Stegostoma tigrinum: one gene and its partners. The protein of the gene in region 2 interacts with the protein of the main gene of each other region in a pairwise test. Links are inferred from orthologs where the notes say so. Each region holds a gene or a part of one and is shown on either strand. Other genes may lie near its edges. The genes, in order: pkp4, atpaf2, rad54b and lrrfip2.

Evidence for each region.
Region 1: the proteins of atpaf2 (region 2) and pkp4 interact in binary tests that used the Homo sapiens proteins (3 or more experiments, as listed by UniProt). The two-hybrid records come from large-scale screens. The link is inferred for Stegostoma tigrinum from reciprocal best matches to the Homo sapiens genes ATPAF2 and PKP4.
Region 3: the proteins of atpaf2 (region 2) and rad54b interact in a two-hybrid assay, tested with the Homo sapiens proteins (2 studies listed by BioGRID). The two-hybrid records come from large-scale screens. The link is inferred for Stegostoma tigrinum from reciprocal best matches to the Homo sapiens genes ATPAF2 and RAD54B.
Region 4: the proteins of atpaf2 (region 2) and lrrfip2 interact in binary tests that used the Homo sapiens proteins (3 or more experiments, as listed by UniProt). The two-hybrid records come from large-scale screens. The link is inferred for Stegostoma tigrinum from reciprocal best matches to the Homo sapiens genes ATPAF2 and LRRFIP2.

The regions. Positions count from the first base shown.
Region 1 is NC_081360.1:58,118,603-58,126,195, forward strand, and holds the start of pkp4 (plakophilin-4), read left to right. Parts: upstream 1-4,321; 5' UTR 4,322-4,508; exon of another isoform or gene 4,509-4,528; intron 4,529-4,564; exon of another isoform or gene 4,565-4,862; intron 4,863-7,593. UniProt on the Homo sapiens protein: Plays a role as a regulator of Rho activity during cytokinesis. May play a role in junctional plaques.
Region 2 is NC_081376.1:20,184,901-20,192,568, reverse strand, and holds the start of atpaf2 (ATP synthase mitochondrial F1 complex assembly factor 2), read left to right. Parts: upstream 1-4,167; 5' UTR 4,168-4,348; coding exon 4,349-4,454; intron 4,455-6,559; coding exon 6,560-6,604; intron 6,605-7,668. UniProt on the Homo sapiens protein: Plays a role in the assembly of the F1 component of the mitochondrial ATP synthase (ATPase).
Region 3 is NC_081358.1:91,295,595-91,303,500, reverse strand, and holds the start of rad54b (DNA repair and recombination protein RAD54B), read left to right. Parts: upstream 1-4,345; 5' UTR 4,346-4,654; coding exon 4,655-4,774; intron 4,775-7,906. UniProt on the Homo sapiens protein: Involved in DNA repair and mitotic recombination. May play an active role in recombination processes in concert with other members of the RAD52 epistasis group.
Region 4 is NC_081358.1:6,312,921-6,321,216, reverse strand, and holds the start of lrrfip2 (leucine-rich repeat flightless-interacting protein 2), read right to left. Parts: upstream 3,171-8,296; 5' UTR 2,938-3,170; intron 573-2,937; 5' UTR 488-572; coding exon 398-487; intron 1-397. UniProt on the Homo sapiens protein: May function as activator of the canonical Wnt signaling pathway, in association with DVL3, upstream of CTNNB1/beta-catenin.

The DNA of each region.
Region 1 (7,593 bases), on a different chromosome or scaffold from region 2:
TTCTTGGTCTTGTGCTCTATCTCTCAACCTTCTGGATCAAATCCCTATTCTTGGAAGAAAAATTCCTGGGGAAGTAGTCACTTCTAGCACCTTTTAACAAGAATAAAGTTTGTCTATTTCTGGCTCTGACAGAATTATAATAATACTACCAGTCATGTTCAGTTGGTGTTTGGTTTCATGCTTGTTATCTGGCTTCTGAGTGAGTTAATACCTGAATTGGCAGGAAATGTGAAAGCAATGATGCCAATGAAAATAGTTGGGTTTGAATAGTGATGTAGAAAATGTTGAATTTCCAGTTTAGTTCATTGGCATGTAGTATATTTTTAATCCATAGCTTTTGGGGTTTTTTGCATAAAAGGTCAGCTAGCTGGACCTCTGAGCTCCTTGACTGGACCAGATTAACAGCCCCAATCAAGGAACTTGCTGACATAAGCTTGTTTAGGTATTAGTTTGTTTTTGATTCCTGACCTATGATGCAGTGCTATAGAGTGACTTAGAAAAAGTCACTAAGTCCTCATTTTATTGACTGACTGGATATTCCTATCCAGAGTTACAGGGGTCTTTGCTATAAACATGTTCTGGCAACACTAATTGGCTATAAGCTGTTTGACAAATAGGGAAACGCATTTTAAACGTGAACTTGTGTTGGCTGTGATTCCATACAGTAGGCAGCTTGCTGTCAGGAGCCCTTTGTACTAGTTCACTGTAGGTATTGTTAACAATGTTGTGGTTGAGTCGGAAATTCGGTCAGCTTTTTTCAATAATTGAAACAGACCTGCTGGCTTCTTTTATTAGTTTAAAAATTAGGGTGTAGGGAAAATGGAAGAACAATATTCTTTCCTTTGAAGGGAAACACTGAAGAACAGGAGCTGGGCACAAGAGGCTGCTCCAGCAGACTATGTAAGTAAGCAGCCAGATCATGGTGGGCTTGTATTTCAACTTGTTTGTTTTTTGCACCCTTGCGCCATAGCCCTCCATACACACGGTGTGAATGGCTGAAGGAGTCGAATTTGCTATGGCAACATACGTGTATATATCGCAGTCTGGAACTTTGAATCTCCGAACCTATACTCTGCTTCTGGCAGGAAGGATTTGCAGATCTCACCTTGAGTGCGCCTTGCCGGGCCATTGAGTTCTGAGGCAGGACTTGAACTTTGACCTTCTTGCTTACAAAAGCTTATACCTGTAACAATCTCGATTTTCACAAAGAGCTTGACAGCCACTTAAGTGTATATAAGTGCAGTCATTGTAGAAAATACAACAGCATTCACGCATAACTCTCTCTCCCAAGCAACGTCTGATGAGAGGACAATCCATAATTGTTGCTGACTATCGGATAAGCATTGACTAGGACACCCGGGTAACTGTCCTGCACTCTTTGGAAATAGTGAGGACAGATATGCAATCAGAAAAGGATCTGCCAAACAGCTGTCACAGTCGGACCAACCTGTTTGAACAGCTGCCGAACGTAGTGCTATCCTTTGAGCCACGCTTTTGGTGGTCTGCCCCTAACTCCGCTTTTCTCATTGGCCCAGTTATTTTCCACAGCGTGATTTTTCTGCAGCGTAACTATCGCGTCATAGCGGAACCGCCTGTATTTTGGTTTGAGTGCGTCAAACTATATGAATTTACAGCATGACCCCGAACCTGAAGGTTTTGATGACGATCTTTCAATCTTCCCTGGATAATGACAGTAGTCGTGTCAAAATAAATATGGGAAAAGCCTTAAACCCAACAAAGTCAGCAGCATCCTTGTAACTCCCTCAAGTTTCACAACACCATCTTTCCTATAGCAGAGAAACCAGAATTGAACATAGTATTCAAAGTGGCCTAACCGATTTCCTGTATAGCTGCAACGTGACCGTTCCCAACTCCATACACAATGCACTGACCCATAAAAGGCAAGCATATCAAATATCTTCTCTATCCTGTCTACCTGTGACTCCACCTTCAAGAACTATGAATCAGCACTCCCAGTCTCTCTGTTCAACTGTTCAGCAACACTCCCCAGGACCTTAGCCAGTGTGTAAGCCCTGCCCCGAATTGCGTTTTCAAAATGCAGCATCTCGCATTTAGCTAAATTTAGAAATCCAGCTGCTGCTCCTCTGCCCATCTGATCAAGATCCCATTGTACTCTGACATAACCTTCTTTGCTGTCCACTACACAGTTTTGGCATCATCTGCCAACCTAAACATACCGACTCTGCTCACATCCAAATCGTTTATATAAATGATGAAAAGCAGTGGACTCTACAAAGATTCTTGTGCCTTGTGGCATGCCACTGGTCACAGGCCTCCAGTCCGAAAAGCAAACTTCTACCACCACCCTCTGTCTTCTACCTTTGAGCCAGTCCTAATCCAATGGGCTAGTTCTCCCTGTATTTCCTATGATCTAAATTTGTTAACTAGCCTACCATGAGGAGCATTGAATGCCTTACTGAAGCCCATATAGATCACATCCACTGCCTTCATCAATCCTCTTCGTTACTACTTCAAAAAAACTGTTGTTAGTGACAATTTCCCATGCACAAAACCATGTGGACTAACCCTAATCTATCCTTGCCTTTCCAAATACATAAGTCCTGTCCCTCAGGATTCCCTCCAACAACTTTACCACCATTGCTGAACCTCCACTCTGCTAGCACCTCTCCTGTGGCTAACAATGATACAAATATCTCCACAAGGGACCCAGCAATCACTTCCCTACCTTCCCACTGGGTTCTAAGATAAACCTGATCAAGTTCCAGGGATTTTTGCACCTTTATGTTAACACTACTTGTGGGCTTCAAGTGCTGGTTAACAATCTAGATGCAAGATATTGTGAAGTGACCAGCTATCTAGCAATTAGTTAATCTCTTCATGAGAAGAAAATGGTGGATGTTTACATGAGGAATGCACGGGGTGAATTTTCTAGCAGACTTGTACTTAGCTCTGTTTAAAGAAAAACTGGAAATACTCATTAGGCAGCACCTGTGGTGACAAACAAAGCTAAGATCTTGGGTTGATGATATTTTCTGACTTTGAAATATTAGTGAAAACAGATGTTAAGCAAGTACAAAATTGATAGATGGAACAAGGAAGGGATTGGAGAGACTAAATAACAAATGGAACGGTTCCACAAAGCAAAAGAAAGTGACTGGGCAAGTAAGGGAATAAAAAATCTTGGAGCATAAATAGGACTAGTAGAATCATCACTAATGCTATGATTTGAAAATAGGGGACAGATTACAACCCAGAATTAAATACCATATTGGATACTTAATCTTTGGGACTCAACCTGAAAGTGATGTGCAGTTTGTAAGTTTTGATCATACTTCAGTCCAACAGTGGATGAAGTTAAGGACAAAGACGAGTTGGCATTGTCTCAGAATTAGTTGATTTTAAAGTACAATTGAGGTATCCACCAGAATGTTGCTGTGGGAATTTTGGTTTTGGTTTGTTTTGAATGCTGAAAAGGGAGGGAATAGAAAGATGCTTGGATAACCTAATGCTGAAAGAGGTGGTAATGGTAGATGTTCAATTAAATATGTAGGTTGTGGAAGGGGAAAAGAACAAGAAGAAACTAATCTCCCCGGGGGGCGGGGGAAGAGAGAGAGAGCGAGAACAAATCTAGGAAATGGATCGGTCACTACCCTTTTCGAGATAATGAGAACTGCAGATGCTGGAGAATCCAAGATAACAAAGTGTGGAGCTGGATGAACACAGCAGGCCAAGCAGCACCTCAGCTACCTTTTTCGAGCATCTTTATTAGGTCAATCTACGAGGACTAGTAATTAGGCTGAATGTTTGTTTGGCATAACATTTAATCATTGGGATTTATGAGAAATTTCTCAATGTATACTTAAGAAGCCACTTATTTATCAATCACCATATCTTGCAATGAAATTGTCAATAGTAAAACGCCGGTTTATCTTGGCTTCAATATTTATTTTGGTTTCACAATGCTAACGTGCATCATCCGCAAAAACATTCCGGAACGAAAAAAAAATCGGTTTACTCGCAAAATAATTTACCATTACTTCCTCCTTTTTATTGCCTAAATTGGTGACAATTTGACTCACATCACAAAAGTCCTGGCAGCTGTGATCACATCTCGGACTGATAGATGGCTCATCCCAGAGGCGAATTCCAGTGCTGGGGAAGCCAGGTGAGCTCGCTGCAGTGGAGGAAGCCGCACTCACCTTGCCATCTTTCTCACTCAGCCGCGGATTGTTGACAGGCGACGCCGCGATGGCAACCAAGTACACCTTTCCCAATTGGCTGATTTCGCAGGGGCAGCACCCAATGGAGGCGAGGGTAGCTGGTAGGCTGACCAATGCGGCCAAGCCGTGCCCGAGAGCAGGGCGGTGACGCGGGGTCGATCGTTTCCAGCTTCTCCCCACCCCGTCCCTGGAGAGGGGAGGAGTGAGAGTGAGAGTGAGAGGTTGAGGTTGCTGGAAAGGGGCGTCTGTCCCCTTCCAGTCTTTTCTGGTGCTTCCTTTCGAAGTGTGGCCCGGTCAGCCAGAGTAGTAAGTGTTTCGGTATAAGTGAGGAATATATCTCTGTCTGTGTGTGTGTGTGTGTGTGTGTGGGAGCGAGCGAGCGAGCGAGCGCGAATGAACTGGGAGGTTTGGCTCACCAGTCACAGACAGGTGTTCGCACACCCGTGGGCCAGAGGAAGGTGAGAAACGTTTCGTGGGTGGCTAGGATCCCAGAGCTGGCGTGATTTTAATCGCCTCCAACTCCTGCCACCCTTCTCCTGTTCGTGTCTCAATGTTCAACGACCGGGGACGGAACGATTTACATGACCATTTGGTTCCTATTGTTCTTGATGAAAACCGAGGCGAGAACACTCCCGAAATGATTCATTTCAACTGAAAATGGTGAGGTGGTGTTCCGCGATTGCGGACTGTTTCACTTGAATGAGTCCTTCCCGCAGTGAAGGTGTGGCGGCAATAAAATGAAATTTTCCATTGAGGTATAACTGTATTTTGATTTCGTGTCCTTTTTCGGCTACGTGTTTTCTTGCCTGCCCCTTGTTTAGTTTTTTTTCAGTGCGGTCATAATGGAATATGGCCACTGTTTAGAGAACAATCGAAGGGGGTTTGAGCGCTTATTTTGCATCATTATTAGGAAAAAAAATACGCCTTTGCGCCACTGTGCTGCATTGGCTGTACTGGTCTGTCGAGAATACGATCCTTGATTGTTAATGGTGATAAACCAGTCCCTGTGCGGTAACTGGGCGTTACTAAATCTGTGTGTGACTGTGGTTTCTGTTTAACTTTCTACCGGTCAGTAGACGTGTGTTAATATCGAATATTCTTAGTTGCTCCAATTTTAAGTAATTCTGTCCGAGACATTAGCAATCTAAAGCGAAACAGTCAACTGCACATGTATATCCATTCTATCCTTTGATTTTGTTATTGAGACATTTTGTAAGCGTGATACAAATTGGGTAACTTTAAAGGAAAGTCGTATTTCCAGACAGTTTGAGTTTTCACTTAAACGGCATCTCTGCTAATTTTTTCTTTCTTTCTTGTGCTTGTTTAAAAGCTATTAAAATTACTTTGTACAACAACAATATTTTTCTATAGGGAATTTTACGTAAGTCACCTTTTTAGTAGACAGGTTCCTTGTTCAGAGATAACAAGGTGTGGAGCTGGATGAACACAGCAGGCCAAGTGGCATCTTAGGAGCAGGAAAGCTGACGTTTCGGGCCTCGAACCTTCATCAGAAAAGCTCCCTTGTTCAGACAGCATGCTGTGTTTCTCAATTTAACTTATTTGCTTTCTTTGCACGTATACTGCATTTATGAATAATGTACTCTGATTTTTCTGCTATGAGCTAAAGTTGTTTGGACCACCTGTAATTTTTTTTTGCCCCAAATGAAAACAAATCAAATCTTGCATTCTCTTGCAGGGATAGAAGAGATAAAACAGGGAATGCAAGATGCAGGGTCTTTTGTTAGATTTCCAGATGTGGCATTTGTAGGGAGAGCACCAATAAAACCTGTTGCCTCTGCAATCTAACTTGCAGTTGAACCAAAAATGATGGCGTCAGATTACAGTGTTGAGCAGAAAAAAGATATTTGCACATACCTTGTTTTTTGTATGCTTCAACTTTTATGAATATTAGTGTAGTGAACAGTGAAGAAGTCTGTGAAAAGAACAAAACCTTGATTAGTTGGGCTGAGGAATGGCAAATAGAATTTAACTCTTCATAAGTGGAAACTGTTGCATTTTGGAAGGCACACCAGGGCAGAATTTAATTGTCGTGTTCTGCGCTCTCTTGCTGAACAAAAACCTTGAGGTGCAGGTTCATATTTTCTTGAAAGTGGAGTTCCATGTACACAGGCTAATGAAGAAAGCATTTGATATGCTTGCCTGTATTGGTCTGTGCATTGAGTATGAGAGTTGCAATGTCATATGGATCTGGATGTGTACGTGAATAGAACGGGTTTGGTGGGATCTGGGCCAAGTGCTGGCAAATAGTACTGATTTAATTTAGGATATCTAGTTGGCATGGATAAGTTTGACCAATGGTCTGTTTCAGTGCTGTACAACTCTAGACTCTCTAACTGCAAATAATCATCTTTAAATAAGTAATTTTATACAATTTAAGTCATGTTTATTGTGACCCAACTGGTTATACTAGTAGCTATGGTGCCTGTGTGCCATCTCACTGCATTAGTGACTACTTCCTATCATTCTGAAGTATTGACAAGAACAGGAGGGGCTACTTAGCCCCATGAGTCAGTTCTCATTCAGCAGGTGTTTGTATCTTGCTGATGTACTTGTACTTGTATCAAGTATTAACCATTCCACATGGCAGCTGTGTCTAAACACATCACCTTGTTACCTCAATGTAGATGGCGTAGAGCTAGATGAACACAGCAGGCCGAGCAGGAAAGCTGACGTTTCGTGTCCAGACCTGAAACGTCAGCTTTCCTGCTCCTCTGCTGCTTGACCTGCTGTGTTCATCTAGCTCTAAAACCTATCTCAGATTCTCCAGCACAGGTAGTTCTTGCTGTTTCTCTTGCCAACTGTATTGTGCTATCTTTTCAACTAATTTCAGTATGCCCAGAATAAAAAGAATACAGTATAAAAACAGGATAGAAACAACTTTCAACACTGTCGTCTCAAATGTCTGCTCTTTCTAAAGGATACAGGAAGGTTGATTAAACATGACTGCTTCATTTTTCAGCTTCCATGCTGGTAATTATTTATCAATTCTTTTGTTATTTCATCCTCTGGGGAAGATTTTGTCTGCCTGAATACTGAAGCTAATTGGCTTGTAGTTTTCTGCATTAGTTTTAGGGATGCTTTGTTTCTATAGTGCTTGTCACAGGTATTTTGAGTTGTAACTACAGTTTTATGCTCTTACTATCTGCCAAAGCTTTGCCATTTTTTTAAACAATCTATCCAATGTGCTTTTCAGATTTTCTGCAGAAAACCCTTTGCAATAGGCCATCTAATGTTGATCTGATTCTCAGCAGATTAATTTTACTGAAAGATTATATATTTTGTTTTTAGGGTTTTGAAAGGGTATAGTTTAGGTTGTAAGAGTTTAGAAATCATTTCTTTTTAACTGTTCTTGTTGAAATGAAGTGTTACA
Region 2 (7,668 bases):
GGTCAAGGAGGCGGGATGAGGTTAGTAGGTAGGAAATGGAGGTGCGGCTTGAGGTGGGAGGAAGGGATGGGTGAGAGGAAGAACAGGTTAGGGAGGCAGAGACAGGCTGGGCTGGTTTTGGGATGCAGTGGTGGGAGGGGACGAGCTGGGCTGGTTTTGGGATGCAGTGGGGGAAGGGGAGATTTTGAAGCTTGTGAAGTCCACATTGATACCATTGGGCTGCAGGGTTCCCAAGCGGAATATGAGTTGCTGTTCTTGCACCATTCAGGTGGCATCATTGTGGCACTGCAGGAGGCCCATGATGGACATGTCGTCTGAGGAATGGGAGGGGGAGTTGAAATTGTTCGCGACTGGGCGGTGCAGTTGTTTATTGCGAACTGAGCGGAGGTGTTCTGCAAAGCGGTCCCCAAGCCTCCGCTTGGTTTCCCCAATGTAGAGGAAGCCACACCGGGTGCAATGGATACAATATACCACATTGGCAGATGTGCAGGTGAACATCTGCTTGACATGGAAGGTCATCTTGGAGCCTGGGATAGGGGTGAGGGAGGAGGTGTGGGGGCAAGTGTAGCACTTCCTGCGGTTGCAGGGGAAGGTGCCGGGTGTGGTGGGGTTGGAGGGGAGTGTGGAGCGGACAAGGGAGTCGCGGAGAGAGTGGTCTCTCCGGAAAGCAGACAAGGGTGGGGATGGAAAAATAGCTTGCGTGGTGGGTTCAGATTGTAGATGGCGGAAGTGTCGAAGGATGATGCGTTGTATCCGGAGTTGGAGGGGTGGTATGTGAGAATGAGGGGGATCCTCTGGGGGCAATAGTGGCGGGGGCGGGGTGTGAGGGATGTGTTGCGGGAAATGTGGGAGATGCGGTCAAGGGCGTTCTCGACCACTGCGGGGGGAAAGTTGTGGTCCTTGAAGAACATGGACATCTGGGATGTGCGGGAGTGGAATGCCTCATCCTGGGAGCAGATGCGGCAGAGGCAGAGGAATTGGGAATAGGGGATGGAATTTTTGCATGAGGGTGGGTGGGAAGAGGTGTATTCTAGGTAGCTGTGAGAGTCGGTGGCTTGAAATGGACATCAGTTTCTAGCTGGTTACCTGAGATCATCTCCAACACCATCCATGACCTCATCCACCAAACCATCATCTCCAACACCATCCATGACTTCATCCACTAAACCATCATCTCCAACACCATCCATGACCTCATCACCTCAGGGGACCTCCCACCCACAGCCTCCAACCTCATTGTTCCCCAATCCCGCATGGCCCATTTCTATCTCCTTCCCAAAATCCACAAACCTGCCTGCCATGGTCGACCCATTGTCTCAGCCTGTTCCTGCCCCACCGAACTCATCTCCACCTATCTAGACTCCATTTTCTCCCCTTTGGTCCAGGAACTTCCCACCTACGTCCGTGACACCACCCACGCCCTCCACCCCCTCCAGGACTTCCAATTCCCTGGACCCCAACACCTCATTTTCACCATGGACGTCCAGTCCCTATACACCTGTATTCCTCATGCAGATGGCCTCAAGGCCCTCCGCTTCTTCCTGTCCCGCAGGCCCGACCAGTCCCCCTCCACCGACACCCTCATCCGCCTAGCCGAACTCGTCCTCACCTTCAAGAACTTCTCTTTCGATTCCTCCCACTTCCTACAGACAAAGGTGGTGGCCGTGGGCACCCGCATGGTCCCCAGCTATGCCTGCCTCTTTGTAGGTTACGTGGAACAGTCCCTCTTCCGCACCTACACAGGCCCCAAACTCCACCTCTTCCTGCATTACATTGATGACTGTATCAGCGCCGCCTCTTGCTCCTCAGAGGAGCTTGACAGTTCATGCACTTCACCAACACCTTCCACCCAAACCCCAAGTTCACCTGGGCGATCTCCAACACATCCCTCACCTTCCTGGACCTCTCAGTCTCCACCTCAGGTAACCAACTAGAAACTGATGTCCATTTCAAGCCCACTGACTCCCACAGCTACCAAGAATACATCTCCTCCCACCCACCCTCCTGCAAAAATTCCATCCCCTATTCCTAATTCCTCCGCCTCCGCCGCATCTCCTCCCAGGATGAGGCATTCCACTCCCGCACATCCCAGATGTCCACGTTCTTCAAGGACCACAACTTTCCCCCGCAGTGGTCGAGAACGCCCTTGACCGTGTCTCCCGCATTTCCCGCAACACATCCCTCACTCCCTGCCCCCGCCACAACCGCCCCCAGAGGATCCCCCTCATTCTCACACACCACCCCACCAACCTCCGGATACAACACATCATCCTCCAACACTTCCGCCATCTACAATCCGACCCCACCACCCAAGCTATTTTTCCATCCCCACCCTTGTCTGCCTTCCAGAGAGACCACTCTCTCCACGACCCCCTTGTCCGCTCCACAATCTTCTCCAACCCCACCACACCTGGCACCTTCCCCTGCAACCGCAGGAAGTGCTACACTTGCCACCACACCTCCTCCCTCACCCCTATCCCAGGCCCCAAGATGACCTTCCATGTCAAGCAGATGTTCACCTGCACATCTGCAATGTGGTATACTGTATCCATTGCACCCGGAGTAACTTCTTCTACATTGGGGAAATCAAGCGGAGGCTTGGGGACCGCTTTGCAGAACACCCCCACTCAGTTTGCAATAAACAACTGCACCTCCCAGTCGCAAACCATTTCCACTCCCCCTCCCATTCTTTAGATGGCATGTCCATCATGGGCCTCCTGCAGTGCCACAATGATGCCACCCGAAGGTTGCAGGAACAGCAACTCATATTCCGCCTGGGAACCCTGCAGCCATATGGTATCAATGTGGACTTCACCAGTTTCAAAATCTCCCCTTCCCCCACCGCATCCCTAAACCAGCCCAGTTCATCCCCTCCCCACACTGCACCACACAACCAGCCCAGCTCTTCCCCTCCACCCACTGCATCCCAAAACCAGTCCAACCTGTCTCTGCCTCCCTAACCTGTTCTTCCTCTCACCCATCCCTTCCTCCCACCCCAAGCCGCACCCCCATCAGCCTATCTCTGATAATGGGAACTGCAGATGCTGGAGATTCCAAGATAATAAAATGTGAGGCTGGATGAACACAGCAGGCCAAGCAGCATCTCAGGAGCACAAAAGCTGACGTTTCGGGCCTAGACCCTTCATCAGAGACCTTCTCACCTATACTCTCCTCTCTACCTATCGTGTTTTCTCTGCATCTTCGGTTTCCCTCCCACTCTCTCCCTATTTATTCCAGTTCCCTCTGCCCATCCCCCTCTCTGATGAAGGGTCCAGGCCCGAAACGTCAGCTTTTGTGCTCCTGAGATGCTGCTTGGCCTGCTGTGTTCATCCAGCCTCACAGCTTATCTCTGTTTCCCTAACCTGTTCTTTCTCTCACCCATCCCTTCCTCCCATCTCAAGCCGCACCTCCATTTCCTACCTACCACCTCATCCCACCTCCTTGGCCTGTCCATCTTCCCTGGACTGACCTATCCCCTCTCTACCTTCTCACCTATACTCTCCTCTCTACCTATCCTGTTTTCTCTCCATCTTCGGTCCGCGTCCCACTCTCTCCCTATTTATTCCAGTTCCCTCTCCCCATCCCCCTCTCTGATGAAGGGTCTAGGCCCGAAAAGTCAGCTTTTGTGCTCCTGGGATGCTGCTTGGCCTGCTGTGTTCATCCAGCCCCACACTTTGATATCCAGTTAGCTCATAACTGTTTCTCTTGTAATTTGAAATCTCGTATTCATTCATTTTTACGCAAAAGCTGACATGGCACTTGGAGCACAAGGAAACAAATCTTATGATACGAGCTTCAATCAGAACTTTAGTAGGAGTATGCTGATCCGGCCTTTAATTCCATTACTGTTTATGGTGTACATACAACCTGGCTCTTGTGTTTCCTACATTAAAATAGTGACTACGCTTCAGAAAGTGGTTAATTAACTTGTACACCATAAAAGGTATTACAGAAAGAGATTCATTGTTATTTATCACTAATTTTCAGTGTTACACAGGAATTAAAATACATCCTCTACTCTGAGAGGTAAAGTCACGGTTAGGAACTTTTCAGTGATTGGAAACTTTTGATAAAAGGCATCCACGTGATTGGATCATCCCCGACCAGCTTCCATGAAGCCCCGCCCCCTGCTATTTGATTGACCCGTGTGCCGCCTTGTGATTGGATACAGGGCACATCCGTCAACGCATGTTTTGCGGGGTGGCAGGTCAGCAACATGGCGACGGCCTGAAGGAGAGTATTTGCTGAATGTGAATGTCTTCCGAAGCTCAGTGGTGGATTCAGTGAGCGATTTACGGCAGCAGCCGTTGCCCCGTTGGTGCGATTCCTCTGCCGAGGCTGCGGGACCATGTTGTGCCGTCTCTGGGCCCGGGTGCTCCCTCGGCTCAGGCCTGGGGTTGGTTCCCAGATGATGGGAAGGACGGTGGAGTGGCGGCGGCAGTATCCAGCAGCGGGTGGGTGAGCCAGAGCAATGGAAGCCAAACATGTCATAACATTCAGAGGTAGTAAGATCTGCTGATGCTGGAGTTAGAGGTCACCCCGTGTGGAGCTTGATGAACACAGCGGGCCGGAGGAACAGGAAAATTCATGTTTCGGGTCGGGACCCTTCTTCAGAAAATCTGAGAGATTGGAAACTGGGATAATAAAATGTGAGGCTGGATGAACACAGCAGGCCAAGCAGCATCTCGGGAGCACAAAAGCTGACGTTTCGGGCCTAGACCCTTCATCAGAGAGGGGGATGGGGTGAGGGTTCTGGAATAAATAGGGAGAGAGGGGGAGGCGGACCGAAGATGGAGAGTAAAGAAGATAGGTGGAGAGGAGAGTATAGGTGGGGAGGTAGGGAGGGGATAGGTCAGTCCAGGGAAGACGGACAGGTCAAGGAGGTGGGATGAGGTTAGTAGGTAGCTGGGGGTGCGGCTTGGGGTGGGAGGAAGGGATGGGTGAGAGGAAGAACCGGTTCGGGAGGCAGAGACAGGTTGGACTGGTTTTGGGATGCAGTGGGTCGGGGGGAAGAGCTGGGCTGGTTGTGTGGTGCAGTGTGGGGAGGGGATGAACTGGGCTGGTTTAGGGATGCAGTAGGGGAAGGGGAGATTTTGAAACTGGTGAAGTCCACATTGATATCATATGGCTGCAGGGTTCCCAGGTGGAATATGAGTTGCCCATCCTTAAACCAGCCCAGTTCGTCCCCTCCCCCCACTGCACCACACAACCAGCCCAGCTCTCCACCCCCCCCCCCCCCCCGCCACTGCATCCCAAAACCAGTCCAACCTGTCTCTGCTTCCCTAACCGGTTCTTCCTCTCACCCATCCCTTCCTCCCACCCCAAGCCACACCCCCAGCTACCTACTAATCTCATCCCACCTCCTTGACCTGTCCGTCTTCCCTGGACTGACCTATCCCCTCCCTACCTCCCCACCTATACTCTCTCCACCTATCTTCTTTACTCTCCATCTTTGGTCCGCCTCCCCCTCTCTCCCTATTTATTCCAGTTCCCTCTCCCCATCCCCCTCTCTGATGAAGGGTCTATGCCCGAAACGTCAGCTTTTGTGCTCCTGAGATGCTGCTTGGCCTGCTGTGTTCATCCAGCCTCACATTTTATTATCTTGGAATTCTCCAGCATCTGCAGTTCCCATTATCTCAGATTGGAAACTGGGAATCGATTACAGAGAGTCAGCCGTGTGTCCGTGGGACCACCTGAGCCTCTGAGCTTCAGGATTGTAGATTCGATCCTGTTCCACAGACTCGAATACAGAATCCAGGTTGATACAAAAAAAACATAGCTCACAGAGTTAGTTCTTTCGAACGAGGCATTAAACTGGAGCTCCCTCTGACCACTCAAGTGGCCGCAAAAGTTCTAGACCATTTAAAGAAGAGCAGGGAAATTCTGTCCAGTGTTTATCCTCTAACAAAAGTCATGAAAATGTTCTTTTATCGTTGTCATAAACAGATGGGCTCGAGCACCCCAGAAGAGGCCGCACGTTGGCTGTAAATCACTCTCTGTCCACAACCTGTGAAATTAGCTGTACAAGTACCACTGCTTGCCTTCTGTACACATTGTTGTTAAGATATGTATAGAATGGCTTCCTAAGCAGCATGGGATCCAAAACTGGTATTTTAGAGTTTTTGGTTGTAATCTATGTTTAGAACAAGAATAAGGTCAAGTAAATATTAGCCTGGCCTGGCTGTCAAGACACCTTTCCTTTGCTTGTTTGAAATTTTAAGTTTTTAGTAAATTTTTCTGATGAGCAACGTGGTGGAATACAGTACAGGTTCTGAGCCCTTTAGGACTGTTCTACAATGGCCTCAGTGGCTGTGACCAGTGTAATAATTCAGCAAACTAGAGGTATTTGCTTGATTCTTTGAAGGTACCTGGACAGAAGTCCCAAAAAATCGTGCTTGATTTGGGTAATTATGTAAGTCGCTTATGCTGTAACTGGGTTAAATTGCTGTGCACACTTGGAGTATATTATTGTAGATGCACTGTTGCTGTGGTGCAAGTTTCAGCAAATACAGATAAATAAAAGTCATCTAATTATTTTTGTAATTTTACTGTTTTTTAGAGCGGAAGAAATTTTATCAGGATGTTAGCATTTCTCAAGGGGAAGGTAAGACTTGTGCTTTCCAGTCTGATATTTAAAAGTAGTGTTTTTTATTTAAGATTAGATTAGATTCCCTACAGTGTGGAAACAGGCCCTTTGGCCCAACAAATCTACACCGCCCCTTGAAGCATCCCACCCAGACACATCACCCTATAACCCACATATCCCTGAACACTACGGGCAATTTAGCATGGCCGATCCACCTGCACATCTTTGGGCTGTGGGAGGAAACTAGAGGACCCGGAGGAAATCCACACAGACACAGGGAGAATGTGCAAACTCCACACAGACAGTCGCCTGAGGCTGGAATTGAACCTGGGTCCCTGGCACTGTGAGGCTGCAGTGCTAACCACGGAGCCACCGTGCCGCCCTACTGTTGAATTTCTTTGAGTCATCCAGTCAATGATGGTGATCTCCATCCTTGCCTTGCTCATCTGTTGAAATCACATTTATGTCTTTCTTATTTTTATACAACATTCGAGCATACTCCTACCTGGCTTCACATAACCTTCAGCTCATAACTATCTGCCTGAATCTTAACTCTCACCAATTCCTATTCATCCACCATTTCTCTGCTTGCTAACCCAATTTTAAAATTCTCATTTGTTTTCAAACCTATCCAAGAGCCCATTTGCCTTTCCTCATCTCTGTAATCTCTTCTGAAATATCTACTGTTTTAAGTATTGTCTTTGTGGATCGCTGCTTTGAATCACACTAACGTTGGTGGCCAAACCTTCAACTGATCTCCTGGAATTCCATTGCTGATCCTCTGTGTTTATCAGTCGTCCTTTAAAATCTACCCCTTTGATCCATTTAGACATTTCACTTGTTAAACGTAGTTTGTAAATGCAAATCTACTTGTTGCTGAAAGTGCCAAACAGGGCATGTGAAATGAATCAGCTGAAAGTTAGTTGCATTGGAAAGGCCTGAACTGTTGAGCTCCATGTTGAGCTCATTACTTAACTGTTGGCAGAGCTCAAGTACACTTGGTAGTCATAGAATCCTTACAGTCACACTGTAGTCCACACTGACCTTCCAAAGACCATCCCACCCAGACCCATCCCCCTACC
Region 3 (7,906 bases), on a different chromosome or scaffold from region 2:
ATCAAACTCCTTTCGAGATACTCAAATCTGGTGAAGCATCACTCTATCTTAATTTTTTTTTAACTGATGGCATTGCAAGCATATCCTTTTGGCAAATTTCTACATGTTCACAGGATATGACTATTTTCATTATTGACTTTCCCACCAGTTACTTTGCCAACTTTTCCTAACCAAATTTTAAGAAAAGCCCAATCTATTTTTACTGTTAAAATAAAATATAAGACTTCACTCTGACTTTTATAGCTTGGACTATGTCATGACCATGTATTATAAATCTGGATCATCTACTGACAGCACAAACTTTAGTTATAACATTTTTTAAAGAACATGCAGCCAAAAGTTGACTATAGATGTAAATTCATTGCCTTTCTGGAGAGAGACTTAGTGGAATGTTATACCTGACAAGGTGTCAAGGACACGTCAAAAGGAATTTACTTAAAAGGGGAGAAAATGTACTACCGTCTAAATTGTAATCTCCTAAGTGCAGCTCAGAATGTGATCATGATGGTAAAACAGAAAGCATCTGTGTGAACAATATAGTTTCATGTTCCAATTTGAAGAATATACAGAGACAGGGGTTAAAAGTGGATATGTTAGTGGCCTTATGTCATAGTGTGTGGAGGACCATACTATGAAGGTCACAGTTTTGAGAACAGCTGTATGCGGGTAAAAAAGAGAAAATATGTCTCTCACTCTGAATGCTGGAAACCAGGCAAGCCAGTCAAAAGGAACCAGGAGAACAGAAGAACTCCCTTGCTTTGAGTGCTGCGAATCATCTAGCCAGCAGCCATTGTTTGAAGGAACCAGGACAAAAGAAGTTAAATTAACCTGCAAAACATGAGGACATTCAAATCCCTCTGTATTTCAGAGCTCTACAATCCATGACCATCTAGATAGTGGGCTACATTTTTAGCCTTACTGCCAAAATGGACAATTTTATATTTGTCACATTTGCCACCAATTTTCCCACTCAATTAATCTATCAATATATCATGTTTTAACCTCCTTTTGTCCACATCTTACTTTCCTCTCTAACATTTTTGTTGTCAGCAAATTTGGCTTTCATACCTTCTAATCGGTAGGAAAATAAATTCTTAGTTTTCTGTAATCACAAGTATGTACTACAGCTAGGAGACTGAACATGTAAAGTTGTGATTGGTTAATATAATCCTATGTAGTAGTTTGGACATGATTGGATAAAATAGACATGTGTACATATGAATTGTGTGAACACAGTTGGACAGAGGTACAGGGAGTAAATATGTAACCTTCTGACTGGAAATTGTTATCTGTAGGAATATTTAATTATAAGTTTGTTATATGTAAAAATTATATAATACCTGCGTTCTTGCAATAAAGATTTGAGCCGTGTGCCATTTTCTTGAAGTGTATATCTCTCATACAGACATGAATAAACATTTGAACACAAAAACCTGTGCCTCATTTGGTTTAAGACAAAATAAAGGATTAAACACATCTGTGTGACTCCATTTGTTCATCTTAAATCTTTGATATAAACTCAAACAGTTGAGGTCTCAGTACTGATCCTTGTGGCGTATCACTAATTACATCTTGCTAATTTGAAAAGGACTGATTTACACCTGATGTCTGTTTGTTGTTAATCAGCAAATCTTGCATCCTTACCAACAAGCTTTCCCATATTATGAGCTTTAATTTTCTATAACAAACCTGACGTGGCACCTTATCAAATAGTTTCTGGAAATTTGAGAACTGGTATTGCAATTCACAGGTTCCTGGCCACTCATTTAACCTGCATATATCTGCTGACTCTTTGCATTACCCTCACCGTTTGCCTTCCCATCTATTTTAGTGTCATCCACAAACTTGGTGATAATACATTCACTTCTCTCATCCAAATCATTTATCGTGTAAATAATAATGGCCCCAACATTGCTTCCTGAGGCATTGGTTAACATCCTGGATGTTTGTTTTTATTCACTCATGGGATGTAGGCATTGCTTTATTGCCCATCCCTAGTTGCCTTTGAGAAGGTGGTGATCAGCTGCCTTCTTGAAACACTGCAGTCCACGTGCTGTGGGAATGTGGGGAGGAAGGGATTCCAGGATTTTGTCCTAACAACATCAAAGGAATGGCAATATATTTCCAAGTCAGGATGGTGAGTGGCTTGGAGGTAGTTGTTTTCCCGTGCATCTGCTGTCCTTGTCCTTTTAGATGGAAGTGGTCGTGGGTTAGGAGGGAGCTGTTTTAGAATTTTTGGTGGAATTTCTACAATGCTTTTTTTCAGATAGAACACACTGTTGCTACGGAGCATCAGTGGTGACAGAGTATACATTTGTGGATGTACTGCCAATCAGGCAGGCTGCTTTGTCCTGATAATATTAAGCTTATTGGAGCTGCATGGATCCAGGCTGGTAGGCAGCATTCTAACACATTCCTGACGTGTATCTTTTAATTGGCGGACAGGCTTTGGGGAGTCAGGAGGTGAATTACTTGCTGCCGTATTCCTAGCTTCTGACCATGTAGCCACTATTTGTAGGACAAGTTTAGGTGAGTTTGTGGTCAATGGTAACCTCCAAGATGTTGATAGTGGGGGATTCAGTGATGGTAATGTCATTGAATGTCAAGGATCCATTTTTAGTTTTTTTTATTGGAAATTATCATTGTTTGGTATTTGTGCAGCACAGATAATTTTTGCTAACCTGTGTCTTGAAATTGTCCAGGATTGCTGCATTTGAACTGGACTGCTTATGCCTGAAGAGTCGAAAGTGGTGCTGAACACTGTGCAATAATTGGTGAACATCCCCATTTCTGTTCTTACGAGGGAGGGGAAATCATTGATTAAGCAGCTGAAGATGGTTAGGCCCAGACATTCCATTGAGGAACTGCTACAGTGATGTCCTGGAAATGAAATTACAGACATCCCAAAACCACAATTATTTTTTGTTGTGTCACATATGGCTACCCAGAGGAGTTTCCATCCTGATTCCTATTGCCTGTAGTTTTGCCAGTGCCCCTTGATTCCACACTGGGTCAAATGCAGCCTTGATTTCAAGGGGAGTCATTCGCACTTCATCTCTGGAGTTCAACTCTTTTATCATTCAGAGATCTCCTTCAGACATGTCCTGAGCTCAGATGATTGACCTTCAGTAATGACAACCATGCCACATGCGCCAGGTATGACTCTAATAAATATCTTCCCACTCTCCCCGCAACTTTTTCCCAGCTTTCTGTCTTATATTAGTTAGTTAATTCCTTTCTGTACTAATAATATGAGGAATTCAAGGAGACATTGGATTATTTGAAGAGAAATAGTGTGCAAGGTTATGAGGAAAATGCAGGAAATTAGCATTTAGGTAATGATGCTCAATTGAAGAGCTGGTAGAGGCATGATTGGCCAGATCTGTAACAATTCTGTGATACTACCCCCAACACATTTGGTTCTTACAAAGTAGCCTAACATGTAGTACTTTATCAAATACCTTTTGAAAATCCAAATATATTACATCCACTGGTTCCCCTTTATCCAACCTGCTTGTTACCTCATAGAATAGAATCATAGAATTGCTACAGTACAGATTGAGACCTTTCAGCTGATCAAACCTGCACCAACCATCTGAAGTTCATCCACCCCACTACTCTACTCCAGAACCCTGCATTTACCATAGCCAATCCACCTAGGCTGCACATCTTTGGATTGTCAGAGGCAACCGATGCACCCAGTGGAAACCCAAGCAGTCACGGGGAGAATGCGCAAACTCCACACAGTCGCCCAAAGTTGGGATTGAACCCATGTTCCTGGCATTGCGAGGCAACAGTGCTAACCACTGAGCTATTGTACCACCCAAGATGGAAGATGGAAACACGTAAAAATTTCTTCTCTCAGACGATCATTAATATTTGGAGTCCCTTTGATAGAGAGTAGTGGAAACTGCATCTTTGAACATGTTCCAATTAGAGCTTGATCCACAAGGGAATCAAATATTATGGATGAGGGTGCTGACAAGGGAAAGTGGAGTTTTGGCCATGATGAGATCAGCCATATTTGTACTGAATTGTGGAGCGTACACGATGGCCAAAACGGAGTATTGCTACTTGTATTTCTTATTATTCTATGGCACAGTGGCCAGTCCTTAAACCACAGCGTGTCCCCAGTGAGAATTTGGAATGACTGCCCCAAATTTACACATGAAATTCTGGGTGGTATGTGCCTGTTCACAACACTCAGTCGTTATTGTGTTCCAGGGTTGGTGAACTAAGTTGGTCGATCTCCAGCAGCAGCAGTTATTTGTTATCTTGGTGCAAGTGACTGGGAATGAAACACACCATCTCCTTTCCCGACATGCTTAGAATTGCAAAGGCAGATCCCAGGGAGCAGAGGTAATGGTAAACAGTGCAAAGCATGATATTTCGGAGCATTAGTATGCAATGCCTTGGTGGATTTGAGAAAGTATTTTAATGTAAAAGCAAATTTCGCGCGGGCGAAGCGCGAGCGCAGCACATGCGCATTGCGTTGCACGGCTGCACCCTCGGAAGCGGGAAACATGAAGTGATCGAGAGGTGATATTTTATTATCATCCACCGGGAGATCGGCCCTACCTGTAACTGCGGGGTTAGATCATGTCCATACGGCTAGATACTTCTCTCCTGAAGGCCGGAGTAACAGGCGACTGAAATGCGGAGGTCTTCAGCTCCGAGTCAGCTCAGTGGCAACGCAGCTAAAAAGTTCAAGTTTATCCCTCCCAGGAGCGGGGGGCCTGGTTCGGCAACCGCCAGTCTCCCGGCAACGAGTGAGGTACAATCTAAATTAAGTTTAAAAATAAAATGTGCCAGGTATCGCATTTTGAGTTTGTCGATCACCTGTCACAATGCCTTATTACTGAGACTGTTCCTGATGTGTATGTAAATTGCCTATATGTAACTGTCTGTATAAATTTAATTTCCGTCATTCTGACCGGGGAGCACCACAGGCAGTTTACTGTGTATCTTATAAAATCGAAAGAATAATTGTGAGTTTATGAAGACCCCCAAGATATCACCGTGCTGCTTTCTGTCGTCCTGCTATATGTGTAGCTCCCTGGAAAGAATAATTTATCCAGTTTTCGTTGTGGGTGCAGAGACACCACATTTGTTTTCCAAGTTAGGAAGAGAAGGTAACCAAAGTTGTTTTCTTAAAAAAATATATATATATATATTCAATTAGTATTCAGTAGGCTTTGTTTTTGGTGATGACAGACTTAAGCCTTGTTTCTGGAGCTTCCTCCCCGAACCCCATCATGGTCTTCAAGTTTGCTGCCTTAACTTCAAGGGATGTAAACATGACTCTTTGTTGCCGATAACTGATGCAGCCATTCATTACAGGACCTACCAGGAGCACGTTGTTGGGTCAGGCAATACTGCCAAACTGCTTACTCTTTAATGATCATTCTTGAATGTAAAGTTAATTTCAGGCTTATTTTCTCCACTACAAACTTTCTTAAATGCCTCACTCCCAATGATAAGTAGGAGACATTCAAGATCTGCCTTGTCTCTAAAGTTGAAACTGGCTGTTAGGAGAAGTGAGTACCCTTATCAAGGTATCATTTGACTCAGAATAGCATCAAGGTGCTTCAGCTAAACTGAATTTGACGAAAATCCACTAGTTTAAGATATACCAACACAGATTGTGGTTGTTAGAAATCACCTCAGTCCCAGGATATTGCTGCAGCAGTTTCTCAAAGTTGTGTCCTAGGTCGACCAACTTCTCACCTGTGTTATCAATAACTTTCCATTCAAATCTTGAGCTGAAAAGGTCACAAATTTCAATTCATCACAAATTTAAGAAAGTTTCAGCGGAGGCCTCTTATTGCTGTTAAATGATCTATTTGACCTTGGACTTGCCCCAGGCCAAGTGACTCCCTATGCAGATATAGAGTGTTTCTTTCAGTTTTTCATTCAAGCCCACACGTCGATTGGCTATCGTACTCCAACATCAGTTTGAAAGTCAATTGTTCGCTGACTGATGTTCAGCACCACTGAGACAGGTGCTGAAGCACTCCGTGTCCATATACACCACAAACATAGAAGTTTTTAGGCTTGGGCTGATAAAATGGTAAACAGAATGGTAATTTTTGCCACAGAAGTCGCAAATGATTTACCTCCGGCAAGTGAGACAATCTTCCTTGAAGATTTTAATGACATTCTCATAGTTAAATTTGTCACCATCATCAGCACAGAGGTAATCACGAAGCAGAAGCCTTAACATATAAGTACAGTGGCTGCAAGAGCAGGTCAGATGCTGGAAATGTTGTGATGAATGACTCCTTACTCTCCAAAACATAACCACCATCTACAATACACAAGTCAGGAGTACGTCAGAATAGTCTTCACTTACCTGGATGAGTGCAGATCCAGGGAAGATCAAAGATTAACAACATTCGGGATATAGCAGCTTGCCCAATCAGCACCTCAGCCATCACTTTAATCATTTGCTCCCTCTACACTGGCTCATGGTGGCAGCAGTGTGTACTACGTACAAGAAGCTCTACCAAAATTAATCTAGGCTCCTGTAACACCATTTTCTAAATTGGCAACCTTTTCCATTGAGCATTAGATACATGGGAACAACACCGCTTAGAAGTTTTTCTCTGAGTTCACGCAGTGCTGACTTGGATCACAATTTCCATTCATTAATGGGTCAAAATGCTTAGTATTTCTTTGAAAGTGCTATGGTGTACCTACATGAGGTGGACCACTTTTTTTTTCATTCTTTCATGAGATGTTGGTGTTGCAGGTTAGGCCCGCATTTATTACCCATGTAGTGAGCTGCCTTCTTGATTCGCTGTAGTCTATTTCGGGTAGGTACAACCACAATGATGTTAGGGATTGAGTTCTAGAATTTTTACCCAGCAACACTGGAGGAATGTTGATTTTTCTTGTCATGTTTACCGAGATACAGTGAAAAGCTTTGTTTATGAGCAGTGCAAATAGATCACAGCAAACAAAGGATGTACAGATCTAAAAGACTTTGAGGCATACCGGTTATGTTGCAGATTACATTATTTGTGGCAAGAGTCCATTCAACAGTCTGATAATGGCCGGAAAGAAGCAGTTCCTGAACCTGCTTGTGCATTTGTTCAGGCTTCTGTACCTTCTGCTTGACGAAAGAGGTTGTAAGAGGTCATTACCAGGTCGTGATAGGTCTTTCATTATGTTGGTTGCCTTTCTGTGACAGTAAGTCGTGTAAATAGAGTCCGTGGATAGAAAGAATGTCAGGAGTCAGGAGATGTTACTCACTGCAGATTTCCTAGCTGCTAATCCCGTGTAGCCACTGTGTTTCTACAGTTAGTGCAATTCAGCTTCCGGTCGATAGTAATCCCTAGGATGTTGTTAGTGGGTGATTCAGTGATAGTAATGCTATTGGATGTCCAGGAGTGATGGTTGGGTGTTTGTTGGTGATGGACATTGCTTGCCATTTGTGTGACGCAAATGTTACTGTCACTAGTCCTTTACATTTAGTCTAGAACTACTTCAGTTTCAAAGCTGTTGAGAATGGTGCTGAACATTATGCAATCATCAGTGAACATTGCTGCTTCTGACCTATTGATGAAGGGAAGGACATTGGTGAAGCAGCTGAAGGTGGTTGGACTTAGCTTGCTACTCTGAACTTCTGCAGAGGTGGCCTGGAGCTGAGATGTCTGACCTCCCAAAAACTACACTCCCGTAATTTCCATTGACTCCACTCTTGCTATTGGTCCTTGATGCAACGCATGATCAATTGCTGCTTTGATATGAAGGACACTCACTCTCCCCATATGTCTTAAATTCTGCTCTTTTGTCCATGTTTAAATGAAGGCTGGATTGAGATCAGGAGCAATGTCTCTTTTAAGCTGTGCACAGCCACTTCAGTGTGTTTTGCTAGGCAGTCAGCGTAGGCATATCCACTGTA
Region 4 (8,296 bases), on a different chromosome or scaffold from region 2:
GTAATATTTAACTTGTGAAACAATTAAAAATATTCCAGAACATCCTGCGCTTCACTTTGCTGTGAAATTTAGAGACAAATAGATACATCTGTTACTCAACTATACAATGGCAATCAAAAAGAGACTATTTTTAGATATTAAAGTTATGTCCCAGTACCACTTAAAGATGTAAGATTGCAGCAGCATTCTTTTCCAATACTGAAACAGAACTTGCATAAAAACTGTAGTTCAACTCATACAAAGTATGTCACAAGCCTTGGCTTGTCGCATTGTGTACCCTAGAGGGGATGTGAATTTAAACTATAAACTGAAGATAAAAGGTGAGAACATCCCACCACGATGAATAATCACAACAGCTGATAATAATGGAAACATTCAAAATTAAATTTCAACCAACCTCTCTGGCAATGTGGCTCAGGGCCTCATCTTCAGCAGAGAATCTGTCTTTAATAGGCGTTCGTTTCCTTCCAGATCCAGGTGTCCCCATTTTCTCCAAACAATTAAAATCTTCTACAAGTCCAAACCAATAAGATCGAATACCATTTGGAGGGGAACTCCTTCCACCAGTTGTACTACAAGACAAAATTAGATTCTTACCAAAATTGTTCTCCTCCAAAGAATAATTACATGTCACAAATTAATAGAACATAGGCCCTAATTTCAAAGGTTGGGGCATAAGATCAGGGAAGTACGCAGTGCTGCTGAGACTATTTTTGGAGTACTGAGAACAGATCTGGTGCCCTTAAGGTAGGGTTTCATTTCATTGAAGGCAGTTCAGAGAGAACGTTAACAGGGTTAGGGGAAGGGAATCACATCACTTGGGAAGTATTAAATTCTAACAGGACAAGACAAGCGAGATGCAGGAAGGATGTTCCAGATGGTGGGTGGAGTCAAGAACCAGGGTTCATGGTTTAAGAATGAGAAGTATGGTTTTTAGTTTTGAAATGAGAGGTTTCTTCGCCCAGAGTGTCACCCCTGTGCAATTCACAACCACAGAAAGTGGTCAAGGCCAAAATATTGTGTTAAGGAAGGAGGTAGATACAGCTTGTGTGACTAAAGAGATCAAGGAATATGGGGGAAGAAGCAATTAGAGTACTGAGATTGATGATCATACTGAATAGTACAGCAGACTCAAGGGGTCAAGTGGTCTACTCCTGCTCCTAATTTCTATATTTGTTATTACAATGATCTCAATAAAGCAGCTGTCTTATGAAGAACAGCCAAACAAGTTGGTACCGTATTCACTGGAGTTAAGAATGAGGGGTGATCTCAGGTGAAATATTTACGATTCTGAAGTGAGTCGACAAGGAAAATGCTGAGGGGATGTTCCTCCTCACTGGAGAATGTAGGTACAGAGGGCACAGTCTCAGGATTGAGGGGTGCCAATTTACGACAGAAGAAATTCCTCCTTATCCCAATGGGAAGTGAGTCTTTGGAACTCCTAGCTACAAAGGGTAGAGTCCTTTGTATTTAAGGATCAGATTCTTGATTTGGAGGGGAATTGGAGTTACGGACAAAATGCAAGAAAGTGGACGTGAGTAAAGTCAGAACAGCCGTGATCCTATAGAATGACAGAACAGACAGAAGGGGACAAATTGGCCTACTCTTATTTCTAATACTTATGATCTTCAGGGGACAAGAATATCGTTTGACAAATTATGCTGCAAATCCTAATGCTGCAATTTCCCATGACTTTCACTGGTTAATGTCATTTAACAGAAATTAACATAACTTGATCTCAAACCAGACTGTAATGTCTCAATACTTATACTTCAACTTTTTTGCTTCAACACTAAAGTTGCAAACTATTAAAATAATTAGTGTTCTGACATTCATTTTGGACAAAGAAATGAATACAAAATAAGTTGTGAATAATGTGAAGACTGTAAAGCTATCTGTGATGTAAAAAACAATTAGCCCAGTAACTAGGAGAAGGTCAACTCCTTTTTTCATAGTCATACAGCTAACAGGTGCAAAGCATCATGACATTTCAGCACATAATACTGCAGTGTCAATGTGCCAACATCAAACTGCTGTCTAGACGTTTAAAAAAGTTTCAAATTGGAGTCTTCTTGTTAACCATTGTGCAGTTTTATCTATATATTAAATCTAGAAGAATATACAGAGGTGCTTGACAGAAGCCAGAAGAAAACAGAGTTCAAACCAAAAAGAGATTAAGAAGGATGATCCAAAGCTTGGTCAAAGGGTGGATTTAATAAAAGGGAACAGTATTCGAGATACAAAAAGGGATTTAACATCTATGCAACTTAATACATAGCTACAGATGCCAGAAAAGGGTAGATGCACAAAAGCCAAAAGGAGTCAAGAGGAAACAACTACAGCTAGGAAAATCAATATGCAGAATTCAAACAAAAGTACAATCATGTAAAATAGTCAAGAAGCTACGACAATAAACAAACTCAACAATCACTACCAAGCAGAAGTCGATATGGCAGCAAAATGTCTATCTATACTGCTCTCCTATCACTCCTGTCATCACTGGGTCTTCATAACCTGCAGTGAAGTTTGACAGCAAACTGCTCTGGAATGCAGCATGACTGCCCTCTCATCGCCAAGGTAACCCATTTCACCTCAAGCTAACTCCGCAGGTTCGGAGACATGATTTTTTGAATAAAAGGTAGTAATCCTGGACAGGAGCCAAAAGTTGAGTTTGAATGTAAGCAATGCAAGGGCGGTACAGCGCAGGAAGCGGCCCGGCCCCGGGCTGACACCAGCAGCGCGGCTCAGACCTGCTCTCTCCAACAGTGACAATAGGCCAGGCTAAGACCAAGTCAAGCTCGGGGCGACAGGCCAGGAAAAGGGGCTTGAAAAGCCCTCGAGGTCGGCAAAGGAGATTAAGGCCTATCCGCCGATCTTGCCGGGGGAACGGAACGGAGGTGCGGTGCTGGTGATCAGTCGGCCCCGAGGTTGTCTTACCAAGCGGCTCGGCCACTCCTTCGGTCAGTCCTGGACAATCAACCAGCCATTCGTCTCGTCACCAGCTGAGCCACCCGTTCAAACATCACCAACAAACCCGTTTCTTGATCCGACCACTCGGCTTTAGCTCCGCCTGAAACGAGGATTTTAAAATAAAACTCTAACCCTATCCCAAAATTAAACCACCACCAGCTGGCAACTCCGCCAATTCCTTTGCACGCATGCGTCAACGGCTCCCGCTGGGCATGCGCTTAACCGCGTGCCTCGCGCCAGCATTGGTTGAGGCGGCTCGGTGCGCACGCGCACAGGCTACAAGTTCGGGTTGGTATGCGCTCGGGGGCGACGTTCTGCGCATGTGTGCGCGTTCGGCGAGGCGGGATTGTGAGCGGTTTGGAGAGCCTTTTGAGCGACCGTGGCGAAGATGACAAGCTCAGCGTTTGGTCATTTGTTGTAGGAAGTCAGGGAGGTCCCGAATGAGCACTGTGTCGAGCTGGACGAACACAGCAGGCCAAGCAGCATCTTCGGAGCAGGAAAGCTGACGTTTCGGGCCTAGACCCTTCATCAGGAATGGGGGAGGGGGAGGGGGAGGGGGAATCTGAAATAAATAAGGAGGGGGTGGGGAGGCGGATCGAAGATGGATAGAGGAGATAGGTGGAGAGGAGACAGATAGGGAAAACAGGCAAACATCAGCTTTCTTGCTCCTCTGATGCTGCTTGGCCTGCTGTGTTCATCCAGCTCTACACCTTGGTATCTTGGATTCTCCAGCATCTTCAGCTCCTCTTATCTCTGATACAATTTTAACCCCACTGTGAAGCCTCTTCTAACGATGCCTACCCTGAAGAAGTTACCCTCCTGCCTCCGGACAAACTTCAAGAGATCTCTCTCCCACTGCAACTCTCTCGTAATCTCTTCAGCCTTGAAACTGCTCGCCATCCCCACCTCCTTGACCTGTCTGTCTCCTCTCCACCTATCTTCTTCCTCTATCCATCTCTGATCTGCCTCCCTATTTATTTCAGAACCCCCCCATCCCCTCCCCCATTTCTGAAGAAGGGTCCAGGCCCGAAATGTCAGCCTTCCTGCTCTTCTGATGCTGCTTGGCCAGCTGTGTTCATTCAGCTCCACACCTTGTTATCTCAGATTCTCCAACATCTGCAGTTTCTACTATTCTCAGAGTCCTGAATGAATTTTTTTTCTTGCGATGTGCTGAGGAAGGCACTGCAGTTGATATCAAACAAAAACAAGTAGCTGGAAAAGCTCAGCAGGTCTCCCAATATTAGGGAAAAGACTGAAAACTGGAAGGGCCTGACAACTGGGAAAACAGCACCATGTGGGACAGTCCTGAGGACTGAAAAATAGTGCTGGATGGGAGAGACCCAAGAGCCGGAAAACATCCAAAGGGAAAGGTGCAAGACCTCAAAAACCAAGACGAAAGGGGAGTCCTGCCGCAGCTTGCAAAAAGCGCAAGGCATAATAGGACTAGAGCTGGAAAACAGCATGAGATGGAAGGGTCAGAGAGCTGATTTGTTTTTTAGAATTTCATATATTATTGTCATGTCTAGCTAGGGACCATGAGATGTTTTGTTTCTTGTGCAGTACTGGCAGATCATACCAGCCAAAGTGCAGAGGGTAAGAGAACACAGCATGGAATACAATGTTACGGTTGCAGAGAAGATGTACAAATAGCGAGGTCGACATTAAATTTGGAGAGGTCCATTCCAAAGTCAGGGAAGAAGCTGTTCTCGAATCTGTTTCGTACATGCATTTAAGCTTTTGCCTTTTCTGCTTAATGGAAGTGGTTGGAAGAGATTATAACCAGGGTGAGAGGGATCGTTGATTATGTTGGCTGCCTTACTGGGGCAATGAGAAGTATAGATGGAGTCACTGGATGGAAGGTTGGCTTGTGTGAATTACTGGGCTATGTTCACGACACTCTGTAGTTTCTCACAATCCTGGCCAAAGCAGTTGCCGTACCAAGCTGTGATGCATCAAGATAGAATGCTTTCTATGGAGCATTTATTAAAATTGGTAAGAGTCTTTTGGACATGCCAAATTTCCTTAGCCTCCTGAGGAAATACATGTGCTGTAGTGCTTTCTTGACCACTGCATCAATTTTGGTTATCATCACTCCTAGGAATTTGATGCTCTTAACCATCTCCACCTCAGATCCATTGATGCAGACAGGGGCGTGCCCTCAACCTTTCTTCCGGAAGTCAATGACCAGCTCTTTCATTTTACTGACGTTTGAGGGTGAGATTGTTATCTTCACACCACACCACCAAACACTCTACCTCTTTCGTTTATTCTGTCTTGTCATTGAGATCCAGATTATCATGGTGGTGTTATTAACAAACTTGTTGCCAGAGTTTGATTTGACAACACAATCATGAGTATACATGGAGGGCCTTGCACAACGCTGGTGTTGAGATTGTCATGGAGGAGGTGCTCTTGCCTATTCTCATTGACTGCAGTCTGTGGGTCAGAAAGTCAAGGATCCAGTTGCAGAGCGCGGATTAAAAACCTAGGTCTTGGAGTTTGACGATTAGTTGGAATTATAGTATTAAAGGCAGTGCTGGAGTCAATGAGTGGAAGACTGATGTAGGTATCCTTTTATTCCAGGGATGACTGTAAGGACAGGGAGATGGTGTCTGATATGAACCTGTTGCAACGGTAAGTGAGTTGCCAGGGATCAGGGGAGGCTGGAGTTGACATGAGCCATGACTGACCTTTCAAAGCACTTCATAATTGTGGAGGTCAGAGCCACTGGGTGGTAGTCATTGAGGCAAGCTGCATGAAGTTTTTCTGGTACCGGCCTGATGGTGGTCTTCTTGAAGCAGGTGGGGACTACAGATTGTAGAAAGGAGAAGTTAAAAATGTCAGCGACTACTCCTGCCAGCTGGTACATGCATAATCTGAGTGCATGGTGGGGGACTCCATATCGGCCAGTCGTTTTCTGTGGTTCACTCATAAAGGTCTGACATCTGCAATGGTGAATGATGGAACAGATACATTGGAGGCTGTCTCATGGTTTTATGGAGGTCACATCTGGATTTCCTGTAAACATTAGGGTCATCTGACTTGAATGCCACAAACCTGGACTTTAGTTGGCAATGGATCTCCGCTTCATCCATGCTTTCTGATTGGGGACTATTCGGTTTGAGTATTTTGTCACACATCCTTCCACACAAGTGCTAATGAATTATTTAATGGTAATAGCATACTCATCTAGATTGGCCGCTGAATTCTTGAAAATGGACCAGTCCACCGATTCAAAGCACTCCCATAGAAGCTCCAACAGTACCTCGGAATAACACTGCTACTTTCTGTACAATGTCCTCATGTTTCAAATTCTGCTTGTAAGCTGTGACGGGCAACACTGCGTTGTGATCTGATTTTCGGAATGTAGATGGGGTATGCAGCAGTAGGCATCTCTGACAGGTGTGTAGCAATGGTCAAGGATGTTCAGCCCTTGATGGGGCAGGAAGCATGTTGATAGTATTTTGGTAGCATACTGTTGAGGTTGGCCTGGTTGATGTTGCTGTCTATAATGAGTGCCTAGAGGCATTCCACCTCAATTCCATTTGTAGCAGTGTATAGCGTAGGGTGTTATGGAGACTGCTATCAGGATAGTGGAGGTGAACTCGCGTGATAGGTAGTATTGATGGCACTTCAAAGATAGATAATCTAGCTGGATATACCACAAGAAGGAAGAGATCTGAGACCTGAAAAACACAGCAAGGAGAGTGATGACTGCTTGAAAACATGTTGAGTATTGAGGTCTGTGTGCTATGATGCATTTCAAGAGGGGAGGAGATCTGAGCCCGGGAAAACAGATTGAGGTGAGAGCTTGAAAACAGCACAAGCATTTGGAAGTATATGTTCTGTGATGTAGGGTGAGTTGGGAAGGAAATTAAGAGATTGAAAATTGTCCAAGCATAAAGACATATGGGAAATGAAGAACCGCGTGATGTGAAGGCTCAAAAACAAGGGTGTGCAGTATGGGGTTTAAGAGATCAAAAATAGCACGAGAGGGAGAGCTCTGAGTAGTTCAAAAGCACTGTGTGATGTGGTGGTCTGTGAGCTGGAAAATAGTGAGAGTGGGTAGTAGTTCAAGACGTAGAATGCAGCATGACAGTGGTGAGGTTCAAAAGCACAAGTGGGAACAGATCTGAGAACTCAAAACCAGCACATGTGCAGACTGGTTTGAGAGCTGGAAAACAGCACAAGAGACTGGTCCCACAGCCACAAAACAGCACCAGAGGGAGCACACTGAGGGCTGAAAAGTTAGCTATAATGGGTTTGACCAGTGAGCCAGAAAACATCAAAATAAAGGCCAGATTTGAGAACATAAAACTCGAAGAAATGGCCCGAGAGCCAGAAATTAACAGCTGATAGGAGAGGCCCGTAGCCAGAGAGTAGAGTCAGATTGGAGACGTGGAAGGCACCCACAGGTGTGCAAGAGGTCATATGGCAAACATTTGGAAATCAGTGTGGATTGGAGAGACCTGAGGGTGTATAAATAGAATCAGAGATAATGGGAACTGCAGATGCTGGAGAATTCCAAGATAATAAAATGTGAGGCTGGATGAACACAGCAGGCCAAGCAGCATCTCAGGTGCTCCTGAGATGCTGCTTGGCCTGCTGTGTTCATCCAGCCTCACATTTTATTATCTCGGTGTCTAAATAGAGCTGGACTGTGACGTTAGATACCATTGGGCCAAGAACCAAAAGACAGCAGCATTTGGGAGAGGGCTGAGGGCCCGAATACAGAGCCAGAGTGAAGGGTAATGAGAGAAGAGATGAAAACTGGGCAAAATGGAAGAGACTGTTGACCCAGAAGACTGTGCTGGACATAAGACGCCCAAGAACCGAAAAAGAACGATGGACAGGAAAGGTTGTAGAGCCAGAAAACCTCATCAGTTGTGAAAAGCTTGAGAACCAGAATCCAGAGCTGGTGTTAAGAAAAAACAGAAGAAAGAGGCCAGAGATGTGGAAATCTGGGCAAAATGGGAGAGGCCAGTGAGCCCAAAAAAAGTGCAAGAGGTGAAAGGATCCAAAACTGGAAAACAGCGCTGGATCAGAGAGACCCGAGAGCTGGAAAACCACACAGGATTGAAGAGGCCTAAGAGCTGCAAAACAAACTAAGGAGAGAGACCTGGAAACAGAGAGAGAAAGATGGAGGCAATACCGGAGCTCATAAAAAGCATGAGGTATTTTAAGATGAGATACAGAAAAGAGACAGCTGGTCCCAACTGGATAGGACTAAAAGCCAGAAAACAGCACAGGATAGGCAAGGTCCAGGAGGTGAATGAGTCTGAAGGGTCATAAAACTGTGGCATGTTTGACAGGCCTGAGAGCTGGA